Alligator mississippiensis: one gene and its partners. The protein of the gene in region 1 purifies or fractionates together with the protein of each later gene. This does not show direct contact. Links are inferred from orthologs where the notes say so. Each region holds a gene or a part of one and is shown in the gene's direction. Other genes may lie near its edges. The genes, in order: RRP1B, LYAR and SRSF6.

Region 1 (9,838 bases):
CACTGCTCTCCCCTCATTCACAGATCCTGTCACTGTATCATAGAAAGAAATCAGATTGGTCAGGCATGACTCGCTCTTGGTGAATCCATGCTGATGGTTCTTGACCACCTTGTTCTTCTTTAGGCATCTTACAGTAGATTCCTTGAGGACCTGCTTCACGAATTTTCCAGGTATTGAGTTCAGGCTGATAGCTATAGTTCCCCAGATCCTCCTCCTTCCCTTTTTGAAAAATTGGCACTATACTTGCCTCTTTCCAGTCATCTGGGACCTCACCCAACCTTCACAAGTTTTCAAGGAAAATAGCCATTGGCTCTCAAATTACCTTAGCCAATGCCTTCAGTAACCTCAGGTGCATCCCATCCTGGCCCTGCCAACTTGAAAGCATCTAGCTTCTGTAAATAATCCCTAGTCTGTTTTGCCATTACTATAGGCTGGTTGTCTCCTTCCCTATCTCTGCTGCCAACTGCACTTGTCATCTGGTAGCTGCCCCTATGTATGAAAAATGAAGTAAAATACATTAAATACTTGGCCTTCTCCACATTGACTGTGACTAGATTGCCTTCTGCATTCTTTAAGGGAGATATAGAATCTCTGGTCTTCCTTTTACTTTTGACGTGCCTGTAGAATACTTTTCTATTGCCTTTTATGTCCCTTGCCTGCTGCATCTCGAATTGTGCCTTGGCCTTCCTAATTTTCACCCTGCATGCCCATGCAATACTCTCTTAGTCTTCCCTAATAATATGGCCGAGTTTCCACTTTTAATAGAATTCCTTTTTGAATTTCAGCTCCTTGAAGAGCTCTCTGTCTAGCCAGGCTGGTTTCTTCTTACACTTCCCATTCTTCTGTCACATTGGGATTGCTTGCTCCTACAACCTTAAAAAAGCCTTAACGAAGTGTAGCCAGCTCTTCTGGACTCCTTTTGCCCTCAGGCTCATCTCCCAAGATATCCTGCTGACCAAGTCCCTGAGTTTCCCTTGGCCAGGGTCAATTCTGAGCAGACAAATATGCAATATTGGCCTCCCATCATGCCAAAATACCCACATTAATTTCTACAAAATGCTTTGAATATTTACATTTCCTTATTCATAGACTCTTATATAAGTGCATGCTATAATATCTGGAACTAGAAAAAGAAAGAAAGGAAAAATTATAGTTTTATCTGCTATTCAAAAGTAAAATGGAGAACAAATTAGGTGGTCCCACTGTTTTTGTAAGTTTTAGTCTTTATTATGATGGACATTATGAACTGCATCTTTTGGATTTTATAGTCTGAATATCTCGTTAGACATTCTTAAAATAGAAAAATATATCAAGACAGGCTCTTCTTATTGTAACATTGTAATCCTATATGAAAATCCCACTTTGCCCCCAGGCAGTGATTTAAACTAAAATAAAACAAAACTTAGAAGCAAAACCAAAAAATATAGTTTCCAGATAGGACAGATGAGGTTATGGTTAAGAAAATGCACAGAAGCTTAGAAAATCTAGGTTCAGCTTTATGGGACTTCTAGCTAAAGCCAGGCTCTGACCCTGTAAAGTATGCTTTGTGAGTGAAGAGTGCTAGGTGGGAGGCAAAGGCTTCCACCAGCATGGATCCATATACTTCTTGATTTCTAACATCCTTATTTGAAATGAGAATAATAATATTTCTGCATGTCCAAGGATGTTGGCAATGCTGGTCAGAGTTGGTCACAGAGATGGTGACAACTGTGTTCCTGTTAGTATTAAGATGTATATCCTATTGCAAAAGGGAACCCCTGCCCCTGTTACCAGGAGAGGTTGAATAGGTAAACGGCCAGGGATCAGGCAGCTAATAAGGCAATTAGCTGCACTTGGCACTAGAGATAGACGAACAAAAGGGACAATCAGGAAGTGAGCTGGGTTGAAGATGAGGAATATAAACCAGTCCCTGAGTTGAAAAGGTTGATTTGGGCCTGTAGGCAGCAAGGTGAAGTGGTCCTGTGTAAGGTGGGCTGATTGGTGTCTAAGCAGTCCCAGAGAGCTGTGAAGAAGAGGCCAAGGGGAATTAGCAGCTTGCAGGGAAGTATTAACCTAGAGTTGGGAGGGGTTTTTGTTTCACAGCTTTTGGGCTGATGTTTACATTTTGATTAGATCCAGTGGAGAACTGGATTATGGCTGTAAGGGGAGGAGGAGGCCATAGTTGGGGGTGCTTTAGGGTGCCTTCCTGCAATAAGCACCAGTGTTCAGGCCCTGAGACAGGGGCAGAGATGATTAAGGTGCAAGTGGATCCTAAGAAGGGGATTGTTATAGAGGGAGGACTGAACCTGGAGGCTGAGGCTTTGAACAGCATGCTCAGGTAGAGGGTGTAGCCACAGAGAAAGAGGGCTGAGTCTGTGACAGCTGAGACCCCAGCAAGTGCCCAGAACCTAAATGGGGTGCACCCCCCCTCTTTACTGAGAGAGGTCAGAAAGTCCCAGGTATAGCTGGTTGGGGTGGACAGATCAGCCTACCCCACAGAGTGATTACTGACCCTCAGGGATCCCCTCCCCAACAATAACAACCAACACTGAAGTCATGGCAGGTGAGCAATAGGAGGTGAACCAGGGTTGAGAAGGCAGCAGCAACTGGGGCAGACCCCTGTGAGTACTACATGTACCCCATCCAGAAAGTCTTGGGGTGACTTGCAAGAAATTACAAGCCACCAACAGCTAAGAAACAAGACTAAGCTCCCTAGAAAATAGAAAAACTTTAAAATTCTACCGCACCCCCCACATTCCTGCCTATTGCCCATAAAAGCAAATCCTTCAGGCAATCCCTACCATACTTCCCAACTCTTCCAAACCCCAGTCACATTTAGGTACAATAAAACACTTCCTGCTTTCCCCACTCCATTCCCATCCACTCTTAGTTCCCTTGCCTCACACCCAAGGAAGATCTCTCCATTCTCTCCCAGTGTCCCTTTCAAGTCTGCACCCCACTCTCATACAGGTCTGTGGTGCTCCCAAAAAACTCATCACTCTTTTTCCTCTCACCAATAAACACCTTTCACTCAAAAGAACTATAACAAGGAAGTAACTGAAAGACCTTCCATCCCAGGAAGACGTTGGGAAACATTGGACTTCACTAGATGACTTCTTGAGGTCCCTTCCAACACTCATTTTCTATGATTCAGTTTGCAAATTGGTAATACTCTTTTCACCCCTGAGGCAGGGTTTCAAGTGGTAAGGTGCGGGTGTTGAGTGAACTTGGCAAAGGGCGGGGGTCTTTTAAGCAAGCAAAAAGCATGGTGCAACCATGCATGGGCACTCTAGGCACGGCTGCTACATAAGAGCCCAGGTTTTCAGGGGAAATCATTGCACTGTGGCTGGTGCTTTGCTCCTAGATGCAGCCTGGGGAGGGTAGTAATGGCTGCCACCAGGCTCCTGAACCTCCAGCCTTGTCCTTCCGCCATGCTTTTCAGTGTTGCCAGGTCTTAAATTGAAATTACTGTATTGGAAGCTCAAAATTATCGTATTTGCTGAAAAACTATTGTACACTGAAAAACCTATGCACCAAGTATGCAAATAAGTCTTATTTACTTTATATTGCTTACTGTAACTCCAGTGAGCGAGAAGTGGGTCATCAAAGTTGAAGCATTTCTTGATTTCAAGGCAAGCCATCATAAGAAAGTGCTCATTGGCAGCAAACCCCAAAGTTGGTTAAGATTCCGAGAGTGACTTGAGTTTTTCATATGTTGTACCAATCAGCTGCCTCAAAAATGATCATGCATGTTGATGGCTTCTACTATTATGGATCATATAAGGTTGTATGATTGTATAGTGTACAAATGCCATAGTTTGAGTTTACTTTTACTCTTTGCTATTCATTCCATCTAGGAAGAGCGCATACCCACTGCAGCTGCTTCCTCAGCCTTGTAGTGAGCATGTTTGTTATTACCCTGAAATAGAATAGTTTTCTGATAGCATACTGTTAGGTTAACAATAATTTGGATTATTAAGAAGTATTAGCTTTGCAGCTGAATACAAGGCATGACCTGTGGCCTAGCAATGCCGCTGACCACAAGGCAGAATGATAGCTAAGCCTTTGCTTGTGTCAAGTAATCATTTTAACTGTGTTAAGCATTTTCTGAGTAAAATGCAGCAAGTGAATCTGTCTCTGTGTGCTGTAAAATCAGCTACAGCAAGGAACAAGATAAGACAAAGAAGCCATTGTTCTAAGTACAGTGATCCTGTCCTTAAGAAGTATCTACCACTGCAAGTTCTTGCTAACGTATCATAATGTTACTGTTACTTAACTTTTAGCTTTTAAAAAGTGCTAGTTCATCTTAATAGAAATATGCTGTTATAAAGATTTGTAAAGCACTGCCCAAGTATTGCTTTTGTTAACCCTGTAGTCTTGCCTTATTGTAAAAAGTATAAAAGATCGCCCCACCGTTTAGGGGGGGCCATTTTGCCTCTTTGCTGGCTTAATGGTCATTGCTCGAGCAAATATACTGCAGTAAAACTTTACCCGTGGTTGTCTGGTTTCTATGCAGCTAGACAATGAACCCCAGGGAGTTTTCTCCCACTGCAGCCTGACAAAGGGTGTTTGTACCTGAAAGCTTGCAAAGAAAATTTTTTCCAACTATTTGAGCTGGTCTAATGAAAGATATCAGGTTTACCCGAAGAACCCTGTCTGCCTATGTCCTTAGACCAACAACCTATACCCCTATAGTTTGAGTTTTGCCTGTGCTGCATCAATGAGCTGCCTTAAAAATGATTGTGCATTTTGAAGGCTTTTAATACTGTTGATTGTACAAGGATTAAAATAATTGTACACGTTGTAGTTTGGGTTTTGCCTATGTTGCATCAAGGAACTGTCTCAAAAATGATCATGCATTTTGAAGGTTTTTAGTATTGACAGTACAAAGATTAAAATTATTGTACAAATGCCATAGTTTGGGTTTTGCCTATGCTGCATCCAGGAGCTGCCTCAAAAATGATTGTGCGTTTGGAATGCTTTTCCTACTATTATCAGGTATCCAGGTTGTAGCCGTATTGGTCAAGAAGCAAAAGAAATCAGAACTCGTGGTAGAGGTGATATCTTTTGTTAGACCAACTAGATTTTTGCAAATTACAAAAAAAAAATTCTTACACTCAAAATTAAAGAAATTATTTTGCACAAATGTAGTTGGTCTAATAAAAGATATCACCTCCACCACGGGTTCTGATTCCTTTTCCTACTGTTGGTCGTACGAGGGTGGAAACGATTGTCCAATGATTACCTAAGGATCGTTCCCCTGGCAAGCCGGGCCCGAGTAGAACGCAGGCTGCCGGAACCGGCAACTTGTGCGACAGAGGGCGCTTGTGACGTCATCAGGCGGCGTTCGATGGAACGCGGCGGCGGCTCCATCCGGGGCGGTCGAGCAGCGGCAGCGGGCGTGGGGCGGAGCCGCGGGGCGTGGGGGAGCGGGCACCATGGCTCCCGCCGCCGCCGTGCCGCCGCCGCCCGAGATCCAGTTCGCGCAGAGACTGGCCGCCAACGAGAAGCGGGTCCGGGACCGCGCCGTGAAGAAGCTGCGGGGTTACATCAGCGTCAGGACCCAGAGCCCGGCGGGTGAGGGCGGGGGTAGACACGTGGTGGGGGAGGCGGGCACGTGGTGCTGGGTATCTGTGCCGGGCTGGGGTGGAGGGTGCTGTGGGCACCCTGGGTGTAAAGGCTGGGCATGGAGGAGTAAGCGGATGTGCCCTGAGAGCATCACCCGCAAGAAATGGGGGGGGCAGGGTATAGGAGACACGTGGGTCAGTGGGACCAGCTGCGATCTGCACGTGGGCTGTGGAACAGGAGGGCAAGGAGAGATGCTGCTGCAGCTCCTGCTGCTCAGGGGAGAGTTGGAAGTCTCTCCTGCTCTGGCCCAGACTTGGCTGAGTGGGCCTTTCTTGCTCCTGTTAAATTACCTTTCACTGAGGGAGGGACCTGGTTTTTTCCCTGCAATAGCTGGGCAAATGTGGAGGTGGTTGTTACCAGCTGCGAAGAGCAGTCTGTCTGCAATTTAACCATGTTTGTCTGGCATCAGGTATATCGGGGAACCATGGATATAGCATGTCTGCCTTCGTTGTATGGAACTAGACCAGTGCAAGTGTTCCCCTCAACCCCTTCTACCTCCTGTACACATACACTAGACCGTAGTACAACCATTTATCTGTCATACTTAACAATCTGTATGCCAGTGCTTCCCAAACTTTTCCTCAGCATGACCCCATTTGTGGCCCCATTTCCTCAGCATGGCCCCTCACTCCCAACCCACAGCCTCCCACCCCTACGACCCCATCTGCTGATGTTGCGACCCCATTTGGGGTCATGGCCCACAGTTCGGAAATTACTACTATATGTACTTTAACCAAAACGTTGCATGGTGCCTACAAGATTATCCATTGCCTCTAGTCTAAGATAGGCCTTTTGTTAATTACTTGAAGTCATTAAAGGTGAGTGATCCAGACCCCATCTAGCCACAGGGGCCTGCACATACAGTGGATGCTCCAAAATTGATGATAGTTTTTGAGAGATTATAGGTTTCAAGCCCAGTTTAAATACTAAGCAGGGAATAGTGCAAGAACCAGTAAGGTCTTTAGACCCAAAAGGAGGTTTATTTTCCTTCCTTTTTTGTATATAGAGTAGGCAGACTGTTTTATCATTGGAATTACAGTGAGGTTATAGTAGCACAAGTTCCTAATACAATGATGTAACTTGCCTTTAGTAACTCACTGGGGTAAACCACGGGTATAGCGCATTTGCCTTCATTGTCTGGAACTAGACCAATACAAGATTTTCCCCCAATCCTCTCCACCCCTCATGTACATACACCAGGCCATAGTTATGACCATTTATTTATCTTTTGTACTTAGCAGTTGGTATGCACTTTAACCAAAATGTTGCATAGTACCTACACGGTTATTAGTTTCCTGTTATCTAAGACAGGCCTGTTGTTATAGGATCCCTAACAGTGTGTATGTCCAGTTTGAGAACAAATCAAGTGAAAATATCTGCTGTAAGAAAAAGAGTATTAGATACTGATGACATTGCATGCAAAGTGTTGCCTTTATGAAATATTTTTTAGAAGGCTATGAAAGTTAGTGTCCTTTTATCTATGGAACAATTCCCCCTGACCCATTTAAAACATGACATCATCTGTAGTAGGCATTTTGGAGGCATCAATCATAATTCCAGAGTTGTGTTTACAGTCCAGCTTGCTTCCTGTTGCCACAGCTGCAGAAACTATTGATTCTGGTGCAGTTAATACTGGGGTGAAGCAGAGTAGAATGAGGCCCCGAGTATCTATTCCACCACTGACAATATCCATGAGATGGGAAAGCTTGTTTCAGGGAAGTTGCTGGAAACCTGAAACTGCTATGTTGAGATCCATGCACAGCCTAAAACAGGGTAACTTATTTAAACACCCACTTTCTAGTCTTGTATGTGTTTGAACTTCAGAAGATATGCTAGGCTAACAGGAATTGTCCTAAAGGCATGTTGGCTCGATAGTCGCATCTCATTTATAGTTGTTAGGATTAGTTAATATTTTCCAAGATTTAGAGAAGGCAGTGAAGGTACTTGCTCTTGCAGCTGTATACTAGCTAAAATGTAATTACCAGTATATAATAATAGTAAAAACAACCCCTCCAACAAACAAACCAAGCCTTCATCTTTTTCTCAAAACATGGTTCAGTAGTTAAACTGGATACAGCACGAACATATTGATCTGTAGCATGGTCCTCTTATTCTGGGGCTGACACTTCTTTGAGGGTGTACTGTGGCACAGTAGTGAGAGCAGGGAAAATGTGCTGCAAAAATACTACATAGTACCAGATCTGGCCCACAGGACAATATCATATAGCCTTCAGGGCTTTCCATGCATCCAGAAATTTGGTTGTGGGGGAGTGGTGGCAATTAACATTGTCATTACTCTTCCGCTGCCAAATTTCTAAGCACCACATGGCATGCATAGGTCCCAGCTGCACCAGCCCTATGCAACAGGATCGAGCCTACCGGCTGACCTAACACTGCTGATTCGGCCCACAGGACCAAAATATCAGGCATCATTATGTATGTCTTTCATATACTAGTACATATACATACACCTTTTTGGATGTAAGAGTGGAGTGCACCCTCAGTTTTAATCCAGAAGGAAAGTGTTCCTCAGGTATCAAAAGTTTGGGAAGCATAGATATACCAGTTTGAATGTTCTCTTCTTTCTTTTCTACATTAAAAATAGTACTGGGTGAGCAAGCAAAACATATTTTGATGTTTTACTTGGTGTACAGACTGATGCAGATTATTAGTTTGTAATACCAAGGTTATTACATGTATTATATGTTAGCATCACATGCTAGCGTTACATGTTTTAGCATCATAAGGATATTTTAAACCTCTTTCACCCTTCTACAATAGGTCTGATCACAGTTTTTATTGTCACTTTTAACAGATCCTAAAATATGTAAGTTTTCAAAGTGGGTTTACTAATACAGTAGAAGTTCTGTTATCTGGGATCTTACAAGCTGGCATGCTCCACTAACCGGCTTGGCAGCTTGTAAGATAAAGTGAAACCAGAAGTGCCCACGGTGGGCACTTCCAGTTTCTCTGAGGCCCCATGGCTTGGGGCAAAGCAGCTTGGTCTGCCCAGCCCCCACAGCCTGGGGGCATAACAAGCTGTGCAGGCCTGTGCGGGGCCCACCTCCCTGTCCTGCGTGGCCCGCTGGAGGGGCAGCGATGCCACAGGAGTGGCGGAGGGACGCCCCAGATGTGGTGGGAGAAGTGGCAGCTGGGGCCACTTTTTGTGCATATTTTTGTTAATATCCCCATTCGCAGGGGATGCCAGATAACAGAGCTTTTACTGTACTAGGACTTGAAGAAAAGTGACACGTTATAATTTGGAAACCCTTGAATTCTTATTACAACTGAAATAATTTTGAACAATTCAGATAGTATTAATAATGTACCTTAAGTTTAATTGTAATTACAATGCATTTGTTTTACTTAATTATGTGGCTTGACAACACAAGAAGAAGCATCTGCACTGATTATAAACAGGGACTCACGTTATCTTTATCTTACTGAAGGTATTTCTTGACCAGTGGTGAAGTGAAACTTCTGTTAAAAGCATTGCTCACCCACCTTTTTTCCCCAGGTTTGCAACCGGGCTTTCCCCACAGAATTAGATATGCTGTCATTCAAATTATTTTTTGGAATGGGTACTAGAAAGAAATGCCATAGGGAATTGCACCCTATTGGCAGGGGGATGAATCAGAATGACCAAACAGGCTTTTCTTGTGTGTGACTTCCTCTGATACTCTATGAGCCTTGTATCATAAAGTATATGGTACAGTAACAAGTCAGAAGCTTAAAGGTATGAGACCACTGCATTAACCAAAGTTTTCATAAACAGAGTAGCGGTGCTAACTTTGACTTCATTCAAAATTGGAATGTTTGCTCCAAAGGAAAGGACAATACTGAAAGAGGGAGGAATGAAAAATGAGAAATCTGTTTTTAAGCATTTGGTGGAAATGTAAGGGTTTTTGTGCATAATTTTTGGTTTTTACACTTTAGGTGGCTTCAGCCAAGAAGAACTCTTAAAAATATGGAAAGGGCTATTCTACTGTATGTGGATGCAAGATAAACCTCTGCTACAGGTATGGAAATCAGCTTTGTGTATATAAATAGACATCCTTCGAGAATGTGTGATGAGGGCACAACGCCTTTTCATTTTGTTCAGGGAAAAATAACATTATAAGGACATGTGCTTATGAAGGAAATGTGGTAAGCATGAGCAAGCGGGAAAATTAATTGCAACTGAGCATTCTTGGCTAAAACATGACAGTAATACCCTTACTTCAATAGGAGT
Region 2 (9,798 bases), on another chromosome or scaffold:
CTGACAATTTTTTTTCAAGTTCTGGCCACATCTATAGGCTGTGCATCATTTCATTGCATAAGACTAGATCCCATAAAGAATTTAGGAGCCTCAGTTCTGCTTAAATCAAGCACTATGATTCAAAAATCCCCACTTATCTGCTCCTAATCTCACTGGACACCTCTCCAGTGACAATAAACATTCTGCTTCTGTGGCTGTACAAAATAGCCCCAGCCTGAGCAGCCTCCCATCTAAACTCTATGGGGATTCAGGAACTAGGCTTCCCTCTGTTTGAATCCAGTTTAGTTTGGCATGCTTCAAGAAAACCTACCAGCAGAATATGGTCCCTTATCAAATGCAGTTGTAACCACTTTCTTATAAAACACAGCCAAAGGAGAAATAAAAGTTGATACTGCCTGTTCTGTGAAGTAGCCTAGTACAGAGGTGTCAAAGATACAGCCCACTGGCTGGATCCAGCGCACAGAAACCTGTCGTTTGGCCCACAGTGTTGCCTATGGGTCTTAAACTGGACTTCTACGCCACACATGGCACATGTCAGACCAGTCCTGTGTGCCAACAGGGCCTCATGAATTTGACATCCCTGGCCTAGTAGTTATAATACTCACACAGGAAGCAGAGAACAGGCTTCAGCGCCTTCAGTCGTGAGGTAGTTTAAACCTATGCCTCCTCTCTCCAGTACCCTGCTGGTTAGGACACTGTCATAGGAGGTAGGAGTACTGGATTTAAAGCATGGGTTAGGCCAGTCTCCTGGAGATGGGAAATGTGGGTTGGAGCCCTCTTAAGTTAAAGAAGGTATTGAACCTAAGTTTTCCACTTTCTTGGAAAGAGTTTGAATCATTAAGTGATACCATTGTAAGGTTTCAATACAATCACCATTTTCTTCTCTAGCAACTGCATTTTAAAAACAAAACAGTAAATATTTTTCAGTTCCTTGAAAAAACATTTGTGTTTACCCTCAGAAGAGTGTCCTGGACTCTGAATTACAAACAGATGGAGGCACCTACCTGGAGCGCTTAACAAGTGCTTAAGCTCTGGAGAGGCTTCATAATGCGCCCATTCAAAACGTCTTCTATTTGCTAGCTCTGGCTAACTCCCAGATACTGCAGGGTTTCTTTGGATGACTGCAAAGGCATTAACTCTCCTTGTGCACTGTATAGAAACCAAGCACCTAACTAAGGGTTCTAGGATAGTCTGGGGGCCAGGCAGCCATAAAGTTAGGTACCATGGTGCCTAAATCCTGTTCGGTCTAATCCACACTGCCTAACTAATCCACACTGCCTAAGTTTATTGCAAATATTTTTCATTTATTTGGGCTAGTCTTTTGAAAACCCGCTAAAGGAATCAGATATCTAAGTCCCATTGCATTTCAAAATGGGATGGATGCCTAACTCCTTTCAACTACTTTGAAAATCTCAGAGCTTATAACAGCATTTCTCTAACAACAGAAAATATTTGGATCTCAGCTTTCCTTTCCCTTATTTACTTATTAAATCTATCTTCTCCCAGTTATTATTTTATGTAAATTTGTCATATTCATTTTGAAGATGATGCAAGAAGAGAAGAAGAGCAAACACAGAGCCCAATCATTATGGCAGGTAAAGAAACTTTCAGCAGTACACCAATAAGAGATTTTTAGGGCCGATACCAACAGCCGATTTTTAAGGAGGCACATCAGCAGATACTGATCTGATTTTCAATATCAGCCCAGCAGCTTGGAGAACTGCGTGCAGCTGGTAATTCTGGTGTGGTGGAAAGGGAGAGGAAAGGGTTGTGGGGGGGCAAATCAAGGCCCCTGCAGCGAAGAAGGAGTGGGGCTGGAGCTGGGACAAGCACTGCCCAGCTGGGGTGAAACAGGTGTGGGATGGAGCCGCAGCTTGTCCTGGGGCCACAATGGGGGGAGGCCTCCCACCGCTGTATGCTGTTGGTTCGGGAGCCACTGGTCTGGCACTTACCCGCTCGTCCAGCAGTTCCCACCACTCGTCCGAGAAGGCATGGGGGGCTGGGGTCGTGCCCTCGCATTTGCACGGGACAGGCCAGGAATAGCCCCATGCAACCCCAGCCCCAGCCTACTCCATCCTGCCCCATGCAGATCTGGGGGCACATGTGTGTCGTCCCCCCACCCCCGACAAGTGGTGGGAAATGCCCGACTAGCACTGGACTGGCAGCTCCCAGATGAGCGGTGCGCAGCAGCAGGAGCCGCATCCCCTCCCCCCTGGGACAAGCCGTGGCTCCATCTTGCACCCACCCTGGCTGGGCAGCAGTTGCTCCACCCCACTGCTCCCTCACCACGGGGACCTTGATCTGCCCCCACCCCTTTCCCTCCCTCATCCCCTTCTACCACACCAAATTTACCAGCTGCATGCAGCTCTCCAAGCTGCTGGGCTGTGCTCCTTGCTGCCTACATGCTGTGTTACAGCTGCACACACACACAAGCATTTATCACCCAAATTATTAGCCACATCAGACCAATTTCCGATACGATAAATTTTCTTTATATCGGTGCCAATCCCCTATTGGATTGATGCATCAGTGCACCTCTAGAAACTTATCTTGAAATGTAGTTACTGCTCACTGCACATTCTAATTTCACTTAAAAGTTCTGGAAGCATCAACTGACCTGCAGATTAAGAAATTTCAGTGTATAAATCTAGGCTATAAATTCTGAAAAACTTAAAAGTGGCTTCCAGATCAATTTTCTTTCTAACACTAACAAACAGCAAAAGTGGATAATCTTACGAGGCCTCAGCCACTAAATCCCATATCTGGCCTGGTCACCCTTACTGTGTCCCACACAGAACTTTAAAAAGAAGTCTCATCATTATCATTATCTTGCAGTACAGTACTGGCAGCAGACCAAAGCCAGAGACTCAAGCCTCATTATGCTAATCACTGTAAGCACCAAAATCATGATTGCAACTCAAAGACTTTACCATCATTTCCTGCACACAGAATGCACTTTCCCCCAAAAAAATGCTTGCTAGAAACCAGAGTGTGCCCTAGACAAAGGAACTATAGTAAGAGCAGTTTTTGCCCCTTACCAAGTGAAACAAAGTAAAATTTGTAATGCACAGGGAGCAGAACAATGAACAAGCTCAGCTCCCTAACTACTGCTATTCAGTTACCTACTATAAGGAAAGATCTCTCTCTCTTCATTCTACCTGTCAAAAACAAGGTTTGTATTATATGCCAGGATGCACTGGACATGAAAAAACATGGTAACACCTAATTATGATCAGCTACAAAATAAATTGGAATGATGCACATTTTAATTAAAGCAAATACAAAATGCAGATTAGGTGCAAGCAAGCAATCTAAGACCCCCTAGTTTTTCCCTTAAAACTGTGATAAGGTATCAACATTACTATTTAGTAGCCAGCAGAAAAATTCTTTCCTCAAACATCAACTTATGGTACCCTGTTTATTGCTTCAGTAAAGGTTGGAGTACCTGAAATACTGACTGAAAGCAGCTAATACGTTTTTATGTGCTTTGAAGCAGACTCCTTTTACCACCAACATGCAGTCACACAGAAGCCCTTGAATACGCTGTTCATGTAGCTGCTGGAGAAGATGACAACTATGGCTAGCAACAGCATCCATGCTAGAGCACCATTTAATTACCTACAACAAAACAAGACAAAAAATACTTAAGAGAAATGCAGCTTACATCTTCCTGCAGACCAAGTTTAAAAATAGGTTAAAAGGTATAATGCAATGCAATGCAATGATTAGTTTCTCTCTCCCCAGTGCAACAGAGCTCCTCATAATTTAGCATGACATGTAGGCAACTTAAGGAGAATTTTTAGTCACTAAGAGCGTACTACAGACATCAACATGTTTATTAAAAATCAGTATTTCCTAACAGTGAGCATCTGCCCAAGGTATACTACAAAGTAGATGGGATTGTAACCACGCATGATTTGAACAGGCATACAAATTAGATTTTATCAGAAAGACATACCATGAATCTTAGTGAGGCACGTTTTGAAAAAGGTCTTGATGCCTTAACTTAACACAAGAAGAGCTTCTCTTTCTTTTTTTAGAAAAAGTTTTCATATCCCAAGCCAAATCAACCAAATCAATTCCAAATTCATGAGGCGGTCAAGAACCATATGTGGCCCTACTGCTGGCAAAAAACATCCTCCATCCCCACCTGGGAATTCAGGTGTTTCCTAAAGATTTGGTGGACATCCTACGTACAAGCCCAAGCCCAGAGACTTGGGGTTCGGATGCCCCCGAATTTCATCACATGGCCACAGGAGCAAGCTAGGAAGGAGTCTCCTGTTTCCATAAAGCGGGGGGTAAAGCCAAGATCTTCCCACTGGGAAAGAAACTGCGAAGTTTACACATAACCAATGTGCCAGCAAAGCGGTTTTCCCCAACCACTAGAAATTGTTCCCAGGTCTACCCTGTATTAACCAAACTCAGGTGACTCCTAAGGACATCTGTCCGCATCGCACAGCGCTGCCATTTCCCGGGGAGACAGGTCCCTTATGTGCCACGTGTCGGAGGCCCGACGCTGTGACACGAGCTCTCCCGGCCCTGCCCCTCTCGCCCTAGGGGAACAAGACACCCCGTTTCCACCGGATTTGTCCCAAGCCATCAGCCGTTGCGCTCTCACGGCGGTTACAGCCAGGGCGGGGCAGGCCCGCCTTCGCCCAACGCTACTAAGCCTGTTTCCAGCTCCTTAGGGAAGCGTGGGAGACGGCGCCGCGGGGCGGAGGCAGCCAGCGCAGGCCGAGGGGCACGAGCGGCCAGGCCCAGGGCTGCGGCAGTCCCAGCCCCGGGTATTGGAATCCGAGGCCCCGGGAGCTCCCCCCCACGCAACACCTCCCGCCTCACCGGCTCCAACCGCCGCTCTACCCCATCCCCGCCTCGGGCTCGGCCCCGGCCCCTCCGCGCACTTCCGGCCCCGGCGCTTCCACTTCCGCTTCCGCCCGGCGGGGAGTCGTTGGCGCGCGCCGGGAGTTGAGAGCGGCCGTCGGAGCTTCGCACGTGTGTCGGCGCCGCTGAGTGCGCGATTGGCCGCTCGCGCCGCAGGACCCGGGAGCAGGTACGCTGAGAGCCGCGGGCCCAGCCTCTCTCTTGCCCGGCTTTCGCCCTGCCCGCCCGGCCGCTCCTGGCATGGGCCCGCGCGGGAGGTGGTCCATGGCCCATCCCAGCACGTGGGAATGAAGGGCAGGGTTTTGAGGCGGATCGGACTCGTGCCTTGGAGGGAAGCAGTAGAGACAGGCCCGTGCTGGGTTGTTCCAGCTGCCGACCAGGTCTGAGCTCAGTCGTTTTTGTAGGTGCGGACAGACGTGCAGCTCCCAGCTGTAGCTCAGAAGGATTTCTGCAAAACTTCCTGAGCTACAGCGTTACACTGGACCAAACACAAGTTTGCTGTTGGTTTCAGGAGGAAGGAGCGTCCTGCTGGGGGCTGGGAGCCTGCAGCTGGGTTCCCATTGCAATGACCCTGCTCCATGTTTTCAGACCGGGAGGGGGAAAAGCAGAGGAGTGAGCTCCCCCAGCTGGTGCTGAAAGGTGGGGTGAGTAAATTGCGGCCCCCTCCACTTCAGGGGGGCTGCAATACACCTCACCCAGCCTCCAGAGGAGGGTTAAAACCCCCCAGGACCAAACTCTCTGCTTCCTTTCCCATTCTGAAAACGGATATGCTGGGAGCTGTGCAGAGGCAAGTTACAAAAGTCACTACATTTTGCAATATCTTTACTTGATACCTCGTGCAATGAGGGGTCAGATTTTCACACAGTCTTGCAGCCGTGCACCTGTGTTTGGTCACAACTACGAACTGCTTTTTGTGGCCAGATCAGGTGAAAATTGTCACTTCTGTCTGCACCTCTAATTGTGACTTGATGCGCATTTGTGTAGCAGACACACACTTTCCACAGACCTGGGTATCTCGTTAAAAGACGCAGCTCTTTACCCCCAAAACCATTCTGGGTCGAAACCACAGAAACGTTAAACCACCAGTATAGGCAAGGAAAGCAGGATGGGAGCAAGTCGCAGATAAGTAATGCATCGTGCAAGTCTGGTTGCTGTCAGGAGGGACTAGTTCAGCAGCAGGCAGAGCTAACAGTAATTTCAGGGAACACGTGGAAGAAAGGGGTCCTGGAGGAGGGAGCTGAATTGGACTGAGGATGTAGGACCTTTGGGAAGACTGATGTGCTAGCTATTGGGAGCATGGGGAAAAAGGCATGGGGGCAAGAGTGAGGGGGAAGAAAACATTAAAATGAGAAGGTGAAGAACAGTGCATGAACAAGCGAGCAGAGAACAGAGCCTTAAATTTGAATAAAAAGAGTTTGATTTTCATGCAGAAAAGTGATCTAGTGATATGTGTTCAGAAAGAGATAATACTGGCAGAAAAGGAAGACTGGAGAGGGAGAGTTGGGGATACCAGTGTGTAGATAGTGAGCTAACCTAGGTAACTCCTCTAGATTACAGGCAGACTCAGCCTTGGAGAGGAAAGACGTATTTGAGAAACGTTATAAAGGGAGACTATACAGATATAGGCACCTTGATGCATAGAGAGAAGCAAAAACTGAATCATTGGTAACTTCAAGGTTATACGCTTGTTGCAGTTTTCTATTTGAAACTACGTCTTTAGAGTTAGTTCACATCACATCACTGGAACATGTCTACATGTTCGTTAATATGCCGTTGCTACAGCGCGTTAAGTTTAATACCTCTGATATGAGGTACTAGATAAAGGCATAGTAGCTGCACTAATGTGCAGTAGCAAAGACGAATGTTTTTTTATGATGCTTAATGCGCAGTAGATGAGTTCTGCGCATTAGCATGGTTTTTGCCATGAGGTACTAATGCACAGTAGACCGGTCCACTGTACATTAAGGTGTCTTGTACCCACTTAGAAATAAACTAGAAATAAAAATGAGAATTATGTAGAGCAGCAAATAACTGGCAATGCTTGCTCATAATAAATGTTTCATAGGTTTGAAAATGATAGGTTAATCAATATACAATACATTTGTGTGGGTTTTTAAAATATTTTTCCTAAATAATTCAGATGATACATTTTTTCTCTAGCGTTTTGAAGATTTTACTGTAACTGCCTTTGAGAAGAAGCTATTTGGATCCAAAATGGTAGTCTTCACATGCAATGCATGTGGAGAATCTGTGAAGAAAGGACAAGTTGAAAAACATGTAAATATTTGCAGAAGGTGTCAGTGCCTTTCTTGTATGGATTGTGGCAAAGATTTCTGGTAGGTAAATGAAGTATTTGTTTGACAATACCTGCTTGGTAGCAGCAGCAGGAGATGCTTTAGGTAGCTTTACTCTTTACTCTTCTACTTTAGCATCCTGAGTGCAAATATAGCATTAATTGCATGCTGTACTTTGGGCAGGGTAAGAGTTACAGCACAAGCAATCATTGATACCAATTTGTGGGCAAGAGGATCCAAAGCTGGGAACTTGAAAGAGACAATAGCACCTTCCCCTTTTACAGGCTGGAGTGGATTAGTGACAGTGGGCACATTTACGCTAACTCCTGAGTAAAGCATCACAGTCTACACGTGTGCCTATATTAGGGTACAGAAAACTAATTAATTCTGTGATAGGCTAGTACTGCTCAACAGAAGTACAGCAACTGCCGGAAATTTCCATTTTTTTGAAGCCAGAGCAGCAACCGCCACTCCAGTTTCAAAAAAATGGAATTTTCAAATTTCTGGCAGGTGCTCAGTCCTGAGTATGCCAGATTTATGAGGTTATGCCAGGGGCGGGCAATTATTTTGGACAGAGGGCCGCTTACTGAGTTTTGGCAAACCACCAAGGGCTGCATGATAGGCAGCCAGGAGCAGATAAATATTAATTTTCTAAATTTTTTTAGGGGCCCCACAGGCCGGATAAAATGGCCTGGTGGGCCACATCCAGCCCCCGGGCCACATTTTGCCCACCTCTGGGTTCCACTGTACTATGGCAGAGTACTTGCGTGCACTCAAACGTGTAGACTGTGACCAGGGCTGGCTGGGGCATGCAGGTGCTACAGTGTCCAGCCCCTCCAGAGCCTGGGGCTGACCCCCAGACCTCCTGCTCCAGGTCAGCTGTCCCCGGGCTCAGAATCTTCACATATGTCTGAGACTGCCCTGGCTCTAATTGCTGCAGTGCACATGAAGACTTTGTGCCTGGGAGCAGCTGACTCCAGTGCAAACTGCGCCAGAGTTTATTCAGGCACATTAATATCATGTATCTACACATTCTAGTCATTCCTTCTGGGCAAGGGAACCCTCTCTTCACTTTGTTACTGTCTTTTTCTTTTGTTTACCCTAGTGATGGCAAAAACTTTTATCTCTGTATGGTGAGAAACAGTTGTAATTTTTAGATTTTCCTTTTCCTTTATTAGTTTTAGTATTTATATCTTTTTATTGGGGCAAACTGTTGGATGCTGTGGTTACTGGAGAATTGCTATGAAATCCTGTAATTCCAAAGTTACAGCTCTTCTTGTAAATATCCAGATCTCTGAAAAAAATGCCATTGCAGTCTGCTTTCCAGTTTTAAAAGTAAAAATTAGATAAAAGTAACAACGGGACTAAGGAAGTGGAATAATGGTAGGTCCATATCAGTAAGTTCACCACTCCAATGGTTTACATTTTCAAGCCCCCTTTTAAGTATTTTAACTTGATCAGGAGACTACCTAGACCAAACCTTGTTTAAAAAAATCTAATTTAGAATTTTTTTATATGTAATTATTCTTAAGCTATTATTCTAACTTGAGAACATATCTTTATTGTGAATGCTACTCTATAAATATTTAGAATTTTTAAATGTGCAGAAGAATAAAAAATGCAAACACTTTTCTAGCAGGCTTTATTGAGAATAAATATGCATACCACATATACTGTATACAACATATAATTATGAATGGTATAGAAAGCTTTGTTTATATTGTTTAGAGACTCTGTATTCTCTTCAGATAACTTCGCTAGAAGCTAAGAAAGTGCTTTGAATGGTGAAAATAGGCATGTATTTAAGCATGTAGAACCATACTTATGTGAGTAGTTCCATTGGCATTAGTGGGACCATTTACATACTGAGTTACACATGCTTGTGTTAATGGTATTTGGGTTTTAATTTTTTACTGTAGTGTTTGGCTTTCCATGGCTTCTATTTCTCTGTTTTTGTAAATACTGTTGAGTTTGAAAAGCTGGATTCATTGACAGAATATTATATACAGGTTTTATGTTAAAAGGTTGTTTTTTTTTTAAATATCAAAGGGGTGACGATTATAAGAACCACGTGAAGTGCATAAGTGAAGATCAGAAATATGGTGGCAAAGGTTATGACGCAAAAACTAACAAAGGCGATGTAAAACAGCAGGAGTGGATTCAAGTAAGACTTGTTTTTCATATATATATATATATATATATATATATATATATATTCAGTATATCCTGCTAGGTATAAATGCAAACAAGACACAAATTTAGTATACAAAGCAGCTCGTATTTGAAAAATGTAAATACTGGTTCATATGAGGGAGTTAATATACAGATGTTTCACTTTAAATTTGTGTCCTGAAAAAATGATCTGTTATGAAGAGGAGACAAACCAAATATTTTTGTAAAAATGTGCCTCACCAGTTCTCTGTTGCAGTTACTGTGCTGACAGTAACATTGTGAATATTGCAAATGTGGTATACTCTGTGCTTGAAGGGAATACATTAATCTCTTACTCAAGATGCTTCTTGTTTCTTAGGAAATTGAACTTAATTCCTTCTGTGAAGGAAAAAAATTACAACCTAAACTATTAAGAAAAGATTCTTGAAACTCTTCAGAGGATTTTAGAGGC
Region 3 (10,190 bases), on another chromosome or scaffold:
CCCACCTCACATCTGGCCTGTGGCCGCCCCAATGGCACTCTGCATGGGACTGAGTCCAGCTTGCTTCTGCTCAGGGAAGCTCCCGCGCACACCCAGCAACAGCCCCAGCCCTGGCCAGCATGCACAGCTTCCTGGCAGGGCTGCTCCTGGTGAGGCTGCAGCCACCTGGGTACTACTTGGCTCCCCCCATCTCCAGCAGTTCCTCCTCCTGCCCCTGCTGCACCACTCTGTATAGCAGGTAGGGCAGGAAAGGGGATGCAGGCCAGATACCACATACCCAGACAGGCAGGGGGAAGCTACAGCTGGGCAGCTTCTGTTCCACCAGGTGGGGCTCTAGCTCCCAGTCATCTTCTACCCACTCAGCTACCTGCAGGTGGCTGCTTATTGCATTGGCAGGTGGCCTGGGCAGAAGGCAGTCAGGAGCTGGAGCCCCACAGCTACAGTCGCACTGGGAGTCGCCCTGTGAGGAAGCTGTGTGTGGTGGCCAGGGTTAATGTTGTAAGTGGGCTCAGACAGGAGCATGGGCTGGTGGTGGCTTGGCCCGGAGGTTTTGAAAAGTTAAAAAATGATTGGTGGCGGGGATTTCGTTTTCCCCACCAATCAGGCCCTGGAAAAGCAGAAGACTTGCCCCCCTCACCCAGGGGTCAGGTAGGGAAACCGGACCTGAGAGGAGGCTCACCTCTTGTGTCACCTGATAGGTCCCACCAGCCACCTGCATGGGGATAAAAGGGGCAGCGCACCTAGCCCTGGCTGGGGGGGAAGGTGGGAGAGAGGACAACGAGGGACAAAGGAGAGAAGTCCAGAAGAGCTGGCAGGAGCTGGCCAGCAGGGTGGATCGGTTGCCCCAGAGCCTGGGAGCTGCAGGAGGTGGCTTGACTAAGGATTGGAGCTGCAGGCGGCAGCAGCTCAGAGCTCCTGCTGCTCAGCACACAAGTGGTGCATGGTGGATCCCCTGCTAAGGACCCAAGCCACAGGCAGTGGCTCAGGAATCTGACCCCCGGCAGGGAGGCCAGGAGCTCGGTGTGCAGGCAGGGAGTGGCGTGGGAGCCAAAGCCCCAAGCCTGCAGGCAGCAGCTCAGGTTTTCCGACCTCCAGTGTGAGGCCGGGTAGCTTGGCATGCAGACAGCATGTGGAGGATCCTGAAGGGTTGAGAGCCTAGACCTGTAGGCAGCAGCACAGGCATTGATAGCTTGGTGACAGAGTTCTTGTCTGCTCTGTGGTAGACTTGGGTTTGATCCCTGGCTAAGGCATGGAAAGGGTGATTTGTTAGGGAGAGGGACTTACCAGTGGGTAGAAAGGTTTTCCTCACCTTCCCCCCTGCCTTTCTGGGGTGCCTGTACCTTATATTTTGTGAAGACTTGCACCCCAAACTTGTTGATTTTCCTCTGTATATGTGTACATTATCTTTACTGGGCAATCTCCTCTTGCTCTCCTACACCCATTGCCCTTCCCACATGTGTGTCATATCTTAACCTGGTTCTTTCCCTATTAAACCCGTATATGGTTAAGTTCCAACTGGTCTTGGCACTACTCTATAGCAGATAGGAGGGAAGTGGCTACCCCTCCCACAGCGTACTAGCACTCATTAAAATCCCATCAACTGGAGAGGGGGTACCTTGTCTAAGTACCACCCAGATTACAGGAATAACAAAGACTTGGTGGGATAGCTCGCATGACTGGAGTAGTGTCATGGATGGGTACGAACTGTTCAGGAAGGGCAGGCAGGGGAGAAAAGGAGGAGTTGTGCAATATATAAAAGAGCTGTTTCATTGCTCAGAGCTCTAGTATGAAACTGGAGATAGGCCTGTTGAAAGCCTCTGGGTTAGGGTCAGAGGGGGGAGCAACAAGGGATGGTGATGTAGTGACATCACCTTTCCTGCCAGGGGTCAGGCATTTCTGCTATAGACCACCAGACCAGGAGGATGAGGTGGATGAGGCTTTCTTCTAACAGCTAGTGCAAGTTTCCTGATCACAGGCCCTGGTTTTCATGTGGTAGGGCAATACAGCAGTTCACAGGCAATCTAGGTTGTTGGAGAGTGTTGGGTACAACTTCCTGATGCAAGTGCTGGAGCAGTCAACTAGGGGCTGTGTTCTTGACCTGCTGCTTACAAACAGGGAAGAATTAGTGGGAAATGCAATAGTAGATGGCAACTTGGGCAGCAGCCACCACGAGATGATTGAATTCAGGATCCTGAGGAAAGGAAGGAAGGAAGGAGAGAGTGCGAACCCTGGAATTCGGAAAAGCAGACTTTGACTCCCTCAGGGAACTGATGGACATGATCCCTGGGAGGCCAGTCTGAGCAGGAGAGGAGTCCAGAAGACCTGGCTTTACTTCAAAGAAACATAGGGTGCAGGAATAAACCATCCCAATGTGCAGGAAGACTAGCAAGTATGGCAGAAGACCAGCTTTACTTAGCAGGGAACTCTTCAGTGAGCTAAAACATGAAAAGGAAGCTTACAGGAAGTGGAAACTTGGACAAACAACTAAGAAGAAGTATAAGAGCATTGCTTGGGCATGCAGGGATGAAATCAGGAAGGCCAAAGCACAATTGGAATTCCAGCTAGCAAGGGTTGTGAAGGGAAATGAGAAGAGTTTCAGCAAGTATGTCAGCAACAAGAGAAACATCAGGGGAAGCAAGATTCTCTTACTGAATGGGGGAAGCATCCTTGTGACAGATGGTGTGGAAAAAGCTGAAGTACTCAATGCCTTTTTCTCCTCAGTCAGCATCCAGACTACTGCAGTGGGCAGCACAGTTTGGGGAGGAGGTGAATAGTGAACAGTGGCGAAAGAACAGGTTATGGACTATTTAAAAAAGCTGGATGTGTACAAGTCCGTGGGGCAAGACGCAATGCACCCAAGGGTGGTGAAGGAGTTGGCTGATGTGATTGCAGCACTGGTGGCCATTATCTTCGAAAACTTGCAGTGACTAGGAGAGGTTCCAGATGATTGTAAAAGGGCAGCTATAGTGCCCATCTTTAAGAAAGGAAAGAAGGAAGGTCCGGGGAACTACAGACTGGTCAGCCTCACCTCAGTCCCAGGAAAAATCATGGAGCAGGTTCTCAAGGAATGTATTTCTAAGCCCTTGGAGAAGAAGAAGGTGATTAGGCACAGACAGCATGGATTCACCAAGGGCAAATCATGCCTGACCAACCTAATTGTCTTCTAAGAAGAGTAGTGGATGTGATATACCTTCACTTTAGCAAGACTTTTGATATGGTCTCCTACAACATTCAAGCATGCTAAGGAAGTACAGGTTGGATGAATGGACTGTAATATTGATAGAAAGCTGGCTGAATCGTTGGGCTCAATGGGTAGTGATCAATGGCTCAATGTCAAGCTGGCAGCCGGCAGAGTGCCCCAGGGGTCAGTCTTAGGACTGGTTTTATTGCATATCTTCATTAGCAATCTGGTAGATGGGATGGAGTGCACCGTCGCAAAGTTTGCAGATGACACCAAGTTGCAGGGAACAGTGGATACACCAGAGGGTACAGCTAGGATTCAGAGAGACCTGGACAAGTTGGAGGATTGGACCAAAAGAAATATTATGAAATGCAATAAGGAGAAGTGCAAAGTCCTGCACTTAGGATGGAGTAATCACATGCACCAGTAAAGGCTGGAGACTCACTGGCCTAGCAGCAGGTCTGCAGAAAAAGACCTTGGGGGTTACAGTGGACTATAAGCTGAATATGAGCCAACAGTGTGCGCTTGTGGCGAAGAAAGCTAACGGCATACTGGGCTGCATTAGTAGGAGTGTTGACAGCAGATGGAGGGAAGTGATTATTCTCCTCTATTTGGCACTGCTGTGGCCACATCTAGAGTACTCTGCCTCAGTGGCGATGTGTAGGGGGTGCACAGGGTGTATGTGCACCCCCTGAGAGTGCGGGTGCACCCCCTGACAGGCAGCGCTCCCCGCTTAGGCGAAGGGCGGGGGGGGCAGCAGAAGCACCGGTGCCCCCACTGCAAGCGCTGGCTGGGGAGTGGGAGCGCTGTGGCCACTTCTGGAATTGCCAAAGCCACTTCCAGAAGCCGGTGAGTGAGATTGACCATGGGGGGACCCTCTGGTTGGCAAGATTGGCCACAGCGTGACTCCCCTCCCCCCCCGGTCAATGAGATTGGCTGCAGGGGACCCCGTCCCCCATCACTGAGCTGTTCTCAGTGGTGGCAGATGGCAGAACAAGGAATAATGGTCTCAAGTTGCAGCAAGTGAAGTTTAGGTTAGATATTAGGAAAAACTTTCTCACTAGGAGGTTGGTAAAACACTGGAAAAGATTCCCCAGAGGTTGTGGAATCTCTGTCCTTGGAAGTTTTTATGACCTGGTTAGGCAAAGCCTTGGCTGGGATGATCTAGTTGGGGATGGTCCCGCTTTGAGCAGGCGGTTGGACTAGATGACCTCCTGAGATCCCTTCTAACCCTAAAGTTCTCGCATTCTATGATTATGCCTCCCAGGCTCAGAGGCTGCTGTGGTACAGTTCACTTACAAAAACATGCCAGGAAAACTATTAGGGCCACCTGTTGCAATGGCACTTATTAACCGCTACAGGGAGCAGCAGTGCCAGGGAATAGTATTGTCCTGTCCTTTTTCCATTGCCTCAAAATTGGTTTTCTCTAAGCACTTGGGTAAATCACTTGCTCCAAGGATGGTATGTAGATGCAGAGCAACAAATTCTCAAAGAGCTGTTTCCTGGGCAGCAACTTTGTGCCAATATATTTGCTGCTGAACAGGAAATTATTCTGAGAGCCGCTTCTACAATATTATGTAGACTACTGCACCCGTGACTTTGAGGAGGGCTGTGGAGTGTTATATTGCTATATATTTCAATGTGTGTGCAGTTTAAGGTTGATCTAGTGACTTTATGAGTTATTAAATTTCAACGACCTAAAGGATGACAGACTGAAGTATATCTTTCTGAGTTTCTCAGCAGCAGCTGCTGAGAAACTCAGACACACCCTTCTCAGGCTGGGAACTAAATTATCCTGTATATCAAAGTGTTTCTGAGTGACATAGTATTAAAAAAATACCACCTTCAAATCTTCATATGTACAGGTTTTTCCATTGAGAGAGAAACATGTTGAGACAATTGCTAAAATCATCTGAGACTTTTAAATCATGCACTAAGTGAGGAAGGAACAGTTTATAAAAATAAAAATTTAGTCCCAGAGATTTCCATTTCTCTGAAACAAACTGAGCAACTGGCTTGTTATACATTAACTGAGAGCTGAGTAACGTCATGAAAACTTGAAGGCAATTGTTGGAGTCTCTGGCGGGTTATATTAGTGGTGCTAACAGTCCCAGGAGATCATAATGGAGCATTAGTAGCATCTGGGTTTACTCTTCATAGGGACAGAGCTGGTAAATCTCAGAGTAGGAGGAAAAAAGTGGTTCTAATGCTTAAAATGCTGCTGGAGAAAAGGCAGCATCTCAGTTTCTCGATGGAATTTTTGAAGCGTGGAAGCAGAGTGGCCGGAGCCACCAACAAGGGCTATTTTTAAAAATGTTTTATTTGGGCAACTATTTAAAAATGTTTTATTTGGGCAACTACAGAATTAAAACTCCATCGCAGGAAGGATGCCCAGGAATTGTTTATCCGGGGTCATGGACATCTTTGCAAAAGGAGCAATGGCATTTTTTAGGATGAGATAATAGTGCTCACTCAGGCAGGTTGACATCCTAGCAGGAGGGCTACGCTATGTTGCTTCAAATGGAGGCGAACCCCACCTGGAATCTGGTCACGTATCATGCATGGGGGCAGCAGCCACAGCTGTGCTGGTTGCAGTCCCCGAGCAGACTAGGGACGTTTCCCTCTCTAAAGCGCCTGCGCGCTGCATGCCCGTGCCCCCAGGCATCCGCCGTTCATCTTCCAGCACAGGTGGCCGGGCGCGACGGACACTGGAGCTTGCGCTCAGTGCCCTTCCCGCCCTCTCCCAGCCGGGTCTGCCCTGCGCAGGCGCAAAAGGAGCTGTGGGAACGCGTGGAGAGCCCTGCGCTGGCGCAACAGCGCTCGTCGTGCTACTAGGTATGCGCCGTCACGCCTGCACAGAGAGCGCTTCTTCCTCCGTCCCAGCCGCCCCTGGAAGCGTCATGCCGCCGCTCACGTTCTCCGCGGTGACGTCACATGCCCCGCCCCCCGGTATAAAGGCCTGCGCGGGCGACCGGCGCCATTGTGGTGCGGAGCAGGCCGCAGGCGGCGAGCGCGGCCTGGCAGCACCGACCTCCCGGCGGTCCCCGGCCCCGCTCGCAGCCATGCCGCGTGTCTACATCGGGCGCCTCAGCTACCACGTGCGGGAGAAGGACATCCAGCGCTTCTTCAGCGGCTACGGCCGCCTGCTCGAGGTCGATCTCAAAAACGGGTGAGGCGGCGCCGCGGCCTACTGCGGGGGCGGCGCGGGGTGGCCCTTCCGCCCGCCTCGGCCCGTGCCTGGCCCTGCTGCGCGGCCGCGGCCCGAGCGGGGCTGGCGTCTGCCGCGTGGCGCCCGCTTCAAAATGGCGGCGACGGGGCGGGAGGGGGTGCCGTGGCAGTCGCTGCCTTTGTCCCCGCCGGGGCCGGGCCGGGCGGGGCGATGCGATGCGATGCGATGTGAGGCCGGGCTGACGGCGCTGCCCCCCAGGTACGGCTTCGTGGAGTTCGAGGACTCGCGCGACGCGGACGATGCCGTTTACGAGCTGAACGGCAAGGACCTGTGCGGGGAGCGGGTGATCGTGGAGCACGCCCGAGGCCCCCGCCGGGACCGCGACGGATACAGCTACAGCAGCCGCAGTGAGTGCAGCTCCGGCTTCCCTCGGCTCAGGCGCGGGGGCCACGGGCGCCTGCTCGGGTCTGACTGGGGGGTGGTTGCGTGCCTGGCCCGGGGGGCGGGGGAGCCTCCCCGGGCGAGGGGCTCAGAGCTGTTGGGGGCTCCCTAGTGCGCGGCTGTAGTGGGGCTTCACACCAAGTGGTGCACTGTGGGTGTCTTCTAACGGTAGGGAGGGGGGCGGGATTTGCCAAGCTGACAAGGCCTCCTTAAGGAGGATGCTTGTCAACAGCACCTCTCCCTTATTGTACTGACTTGGGACCCTTTGGTGGCAGGGGTGATGGTGCATCCCTGATGGAGGGTGGGGGTGAAGTCCTGGGGGTCACTGGAAGCAGACTTACGGGATGTTTCTGCTGATTACGCAGAACGTAGCCAGGGGGAGGGGCTTGCTGAGGCACGTGAGCTTGCAGTGAGGGGGAGAAGCGGCTTGCGAAGGCTTTTTGTACCCTGAGCTCGTTTTAAGTTGATGAGCTGAGTGGAGTTGAATTGGCCTGGTGCTGTGCTTTAAAAGCACGAAGCCTTGTCTCAGAAAAATCTGAGAGGCTCATTGCTGGGTGGGCGGGGATCTTTGTATTACAAGTGTTTTGCAAATTCAAATGTATGTTGTGTTTTAAACTTGTTGCATGTTCAATTCAAACTTTTTAACAAGTCCTTGATGTTTCAATTTAAAAGTGACCAGTGGGGCTGAGGCTGTGTCCACTGAGGCTAAGATGACTGCCTTTCCTGATTGGCCATGGCTTTTCCATACATTGTGTGACCCTTGCCCTATGACCCTTTGGCTGACCTTACCGGAAGCCATGACGACAGCAGCCTTTTGCCATTAGACGCAGGGTGATGGTGAGGATTCCAAGGGTTAGACAAAACTGGTTAAACTGAACTAGGTGACTGTTAACCTTGCGTGTTTTGTGGCCAAACCACCACCAAAAACCTCATACTGTGATGTAAGTACTTAGTGTAATTAGTAACGTTTTTGTAAAATGTAGAAATGCATGTAATCAGTTAAGTTTTATATTTTACAATGTTCTGTAAAATAAAACTTAGCAAGGTAAATCTAATAAAGGAGCAGTCACTCTCTAACAGATCTTAGGAGCACAGACTTGTAGGATTTTAGTCTCTTTGATTTGCCATTAATATAGATTATGGCAAAATTGCAACTTTGTTGGAGGCTTAGAAAGATAAAGTCCTACTCCAGTAAATGTAATCTGTATTTAACTAACTTTTTCAGAACTTTTTGTTTTCTTCACACTATGAGAGAGTCTGACTTGTTTTCTTTGCACAATAAAGGTGGATATAGCAGTCGCAGACAATCGGGAAGAGATAAATATGGACCACCTGTGCGTACAGAATACAGACTGATTGTTGAAAACCTTTCCAGTCGCTGTAGTTGGCAGGATTTGAAAGTACGTACTAATGTGACAATGTTAGTCTAGCTTCCTGCTTGGTCACAATACTTCCATTTTATTGTGAATATTCATGATTTGGGAAAGTCATTTGGAACTTATTCATTCGTGTCTGTTGACACTCTTGGTGAGTTTTTTACCTTTGTTTAGGCATGTTACATTCCAGAAGCATGAAATGCTTATGTAACTCTTCATCTGTTCTCTGAAGGATTTCATGAGGCAAGCTGGTGAAGTAACCTATGCAGATGCTCATAAAGAACGCACAAATGAAGGGGTAATAGAATTTCGATCTTACTCAGATATGAAGCGTGCCCTGGACAAATTGGATGGCACAGAGATAAATGGCAGGAAGATAAGGCTGGTTGAGGACAAGCCACGTTCAAGCCATAGGCGATCTTACTCTGGCAGCCGGTCAAGGTAACCTTTTGAAATATTTGATTGATCTTTATAGCAAAAGTCTCCTGCTAGCAGTAGGAGAAGAGTCTATTATATTTAGTCTAAACTTGAGAGAGTAATCATTTCCTTTTAATTAGATTACATCTTGCAGATAAGATGATTGTTAGGATGTGGAGGGGAATAGCTTTCTATGATAAAACATTACGTAAGTGATCAGGTGTATTTCAGGAAAGACAGTTTACCTTCTGAAACATCATAAGTAGTTCAGTGTCAGATGGTATTCTTACTGTAGGTTGATCTGTGACTTGCCTGCCTTTGTGTGCGTCTCCCTGTCCCAGCCCAAGAAATTGTTGTAAACATCTGTGGATGTTTAGAGTTTCACAAGGGCACTTTGAAACATTGTCAGGTCACGCTCTAGAAGAAGGTCGCGAAGCAGGAGTCGCAGGAGCAGGAGTAGCCGCAGCCGATCCCGTAGTGTCTCTAAAAGCCGGTCACGGTGAGTAACGTACATTATTTATTGGCTATTTCTGTTAAATTAGAAATTGTGACCCTTCCTTGGTAAGTGTGACTGTATGTAAAACTGACATGAGTAATTTTTTTCAGTTCCTATCAAATATTTTGTTCTCTTCAAGATCTAAATCCAGGTCACGGAGCAAAGATCGTTCGCGTTCCAGATCTAAAAGCAGGAAGTCAAGATCAAAGAGCAAATCTAAACCTAAGTCTGACCGGGGTTCCCGCTCCCGCAGCAGATCCAAGGCAAAATCTGAGAAGTCTCGCAGCAGGTCTAGGTCCATGTCTCGCTCTCCCAAAGAAAATGGTAAAGGAGATGCTAAGTCTAAATCCAGATCAAGGAGTAGGTCTCGTTCCAACTCGCCACAGCAGCAAGCCTCTGTCAAGGCTCGTTCAGAGTCACCATCCAAAAGAGCTGCATCAAGGTCCCACTCCAGATCTCATTCAAAGTCTCGCTCACGATCAAGATCTAGTTCAAGAGATTAAGACTAGAACTCTCCTCTTACTTTGCACACTATTATGGAACATTTTCCTACTTGCCAGGCCATTAGTCTTTTATGTTAGTCCTTCAGAAGTTGGTTCCTTCTTTTGCAGAAAGGAATGGCCTGAGAACCAAGTAATGAGGCATAAAGGTTTGATTTGTATCTAAATTTGGTGAAAAGATGAGGTGGTGTGGAAATGGTGGTAAGAGCAGGAAGAGAGTCCCCTTTTTCTAGAAAAATAAAGTTAAACTTTTGATTTTTAGCATTTCAGCAGAAATAATTTGACTGCTGTTAAGAGGAAAGTGGGTTTTATATTAAAATAAACTCTTAAGCATAAGACGCTTAAATTCAGGCTTTTTTGAGAACGTCATTTTTTTTTTTTCCTAATTTTTCACTCTTAAAATTACGGGCCTTAGTAGTATAAAAGGTTACGTCTTGCTATCAAAGACACAAAAGCATTGTTGAACTGGTCAGTGTAGATGCCTTGGCTATTTCAGTTTGTGGAAGCAAAGTGGGAACTGTACATACAGTTAATATATAATAACTAGGCAAATTTCAGACCAGCAATAAACTCAAGTTGGAAGCACTTGTGCTGTATCTTAACTCGCCAA

The links.
Region 2: the proteins of RRP1B (region 1) and LYAR purify together in Homo sapiens (co-immunoprecipitation; 3 studies listed by IntAct, with this or other methods). This does not show direct contact. The link is inferred for Alligator mississippiensis from reciprocal best matches to the Homo sapiens genes RRP1B and LYAR.
Region 3: the proteins of RRP1B (region 1) and SRSF6 purify together in Homo sapiens (affinity purification with mass spectrometry; 3 studies listed by BioGRID and IntAct, with this or other methods). This does not show direct contact. The link is inferred for Alligator mississippiensis from reciprocal best matches to the Homo sapiens genes RRP1B and SRSF6.

What each region holds. Positions count from the first base shown.
Region 1 is NC_081824.1:300,606,960-300,616,797, forward strand, and holds the start of RRP1B (ribosomal RNA processing protein 1 homolog B), read left to right. Parts: upstream 1-5,351; 5' UTR 5,352-5,417; coding exon 5,418-5,556; intron 5,557-9,543; coding exon 9,544-9,626; intron 9,627-9,838. UniProt on the Homo sapiens protein: Positively regulates DNA damage-induced apoptosis by acting as a transcriptional coactivator of proapoptotic target genes of the transcriptional activator E2F1.
Region 2 is NC_081825.1:28,824,432-28,834,229, forward strand, and holds the start of LYAR (cell growth-regulating nucleolar protein), read left to right. Parts: upstream 1-4,950; 5' UTR 4,951-5,050; intron 5,051-7,041; 5' UTR 7,042-7,095; coding exon 7,096-7,217; intron 7,218-9,224; coding exon 9,225-9,339; intron 9,340-9,798. Other genes in the region: ZBTB49 (zinc finger and BTB domain-containing protein 49), read right to left, coding at 3,446-3,618, 3,959-3,961. UniProt on the Homo sapiens protein: Plays a role in the maintenance of the appropriate processing of 47S/45S pre-rRNA to 32S/30S pre-rRNAs and their subsequent processing to produce 18S and 28S rRNAs. Also acts at the level of transcription regulation.
Region 3 is NC_081832.1:22,596,008-22,606,197, reverse strand, and holds the start of SRSF6 (serine/arginine-rich splicing factor 6), read left to right. Parts: upstream 1-6,148; 5' UTR 6,149-6,243; coding exon 6,244-6,350; intron 6,351-6,608; coding exon 6,609-6,757; intron 6,758-8,075; coding exon 8,076-8,191; intron 8,192-8,399; coding exon 8,400-8,608; intron 8,609-8,993; coding exon 8,994-9,083; intron 9,084-9,219; coding exon 9,220-9,583; 3' UTR 9,584-10,190. UniProt on the Homo sapiens protein: Plays a role in constitutive splicing and modulates the selection of alternative splice sites. Plays a role in the alternative splicing of MAPT/Tau exon 10. Binds to alternative exons of TNC pre-mRNA and promotes the expression of alternatively spliced TNC.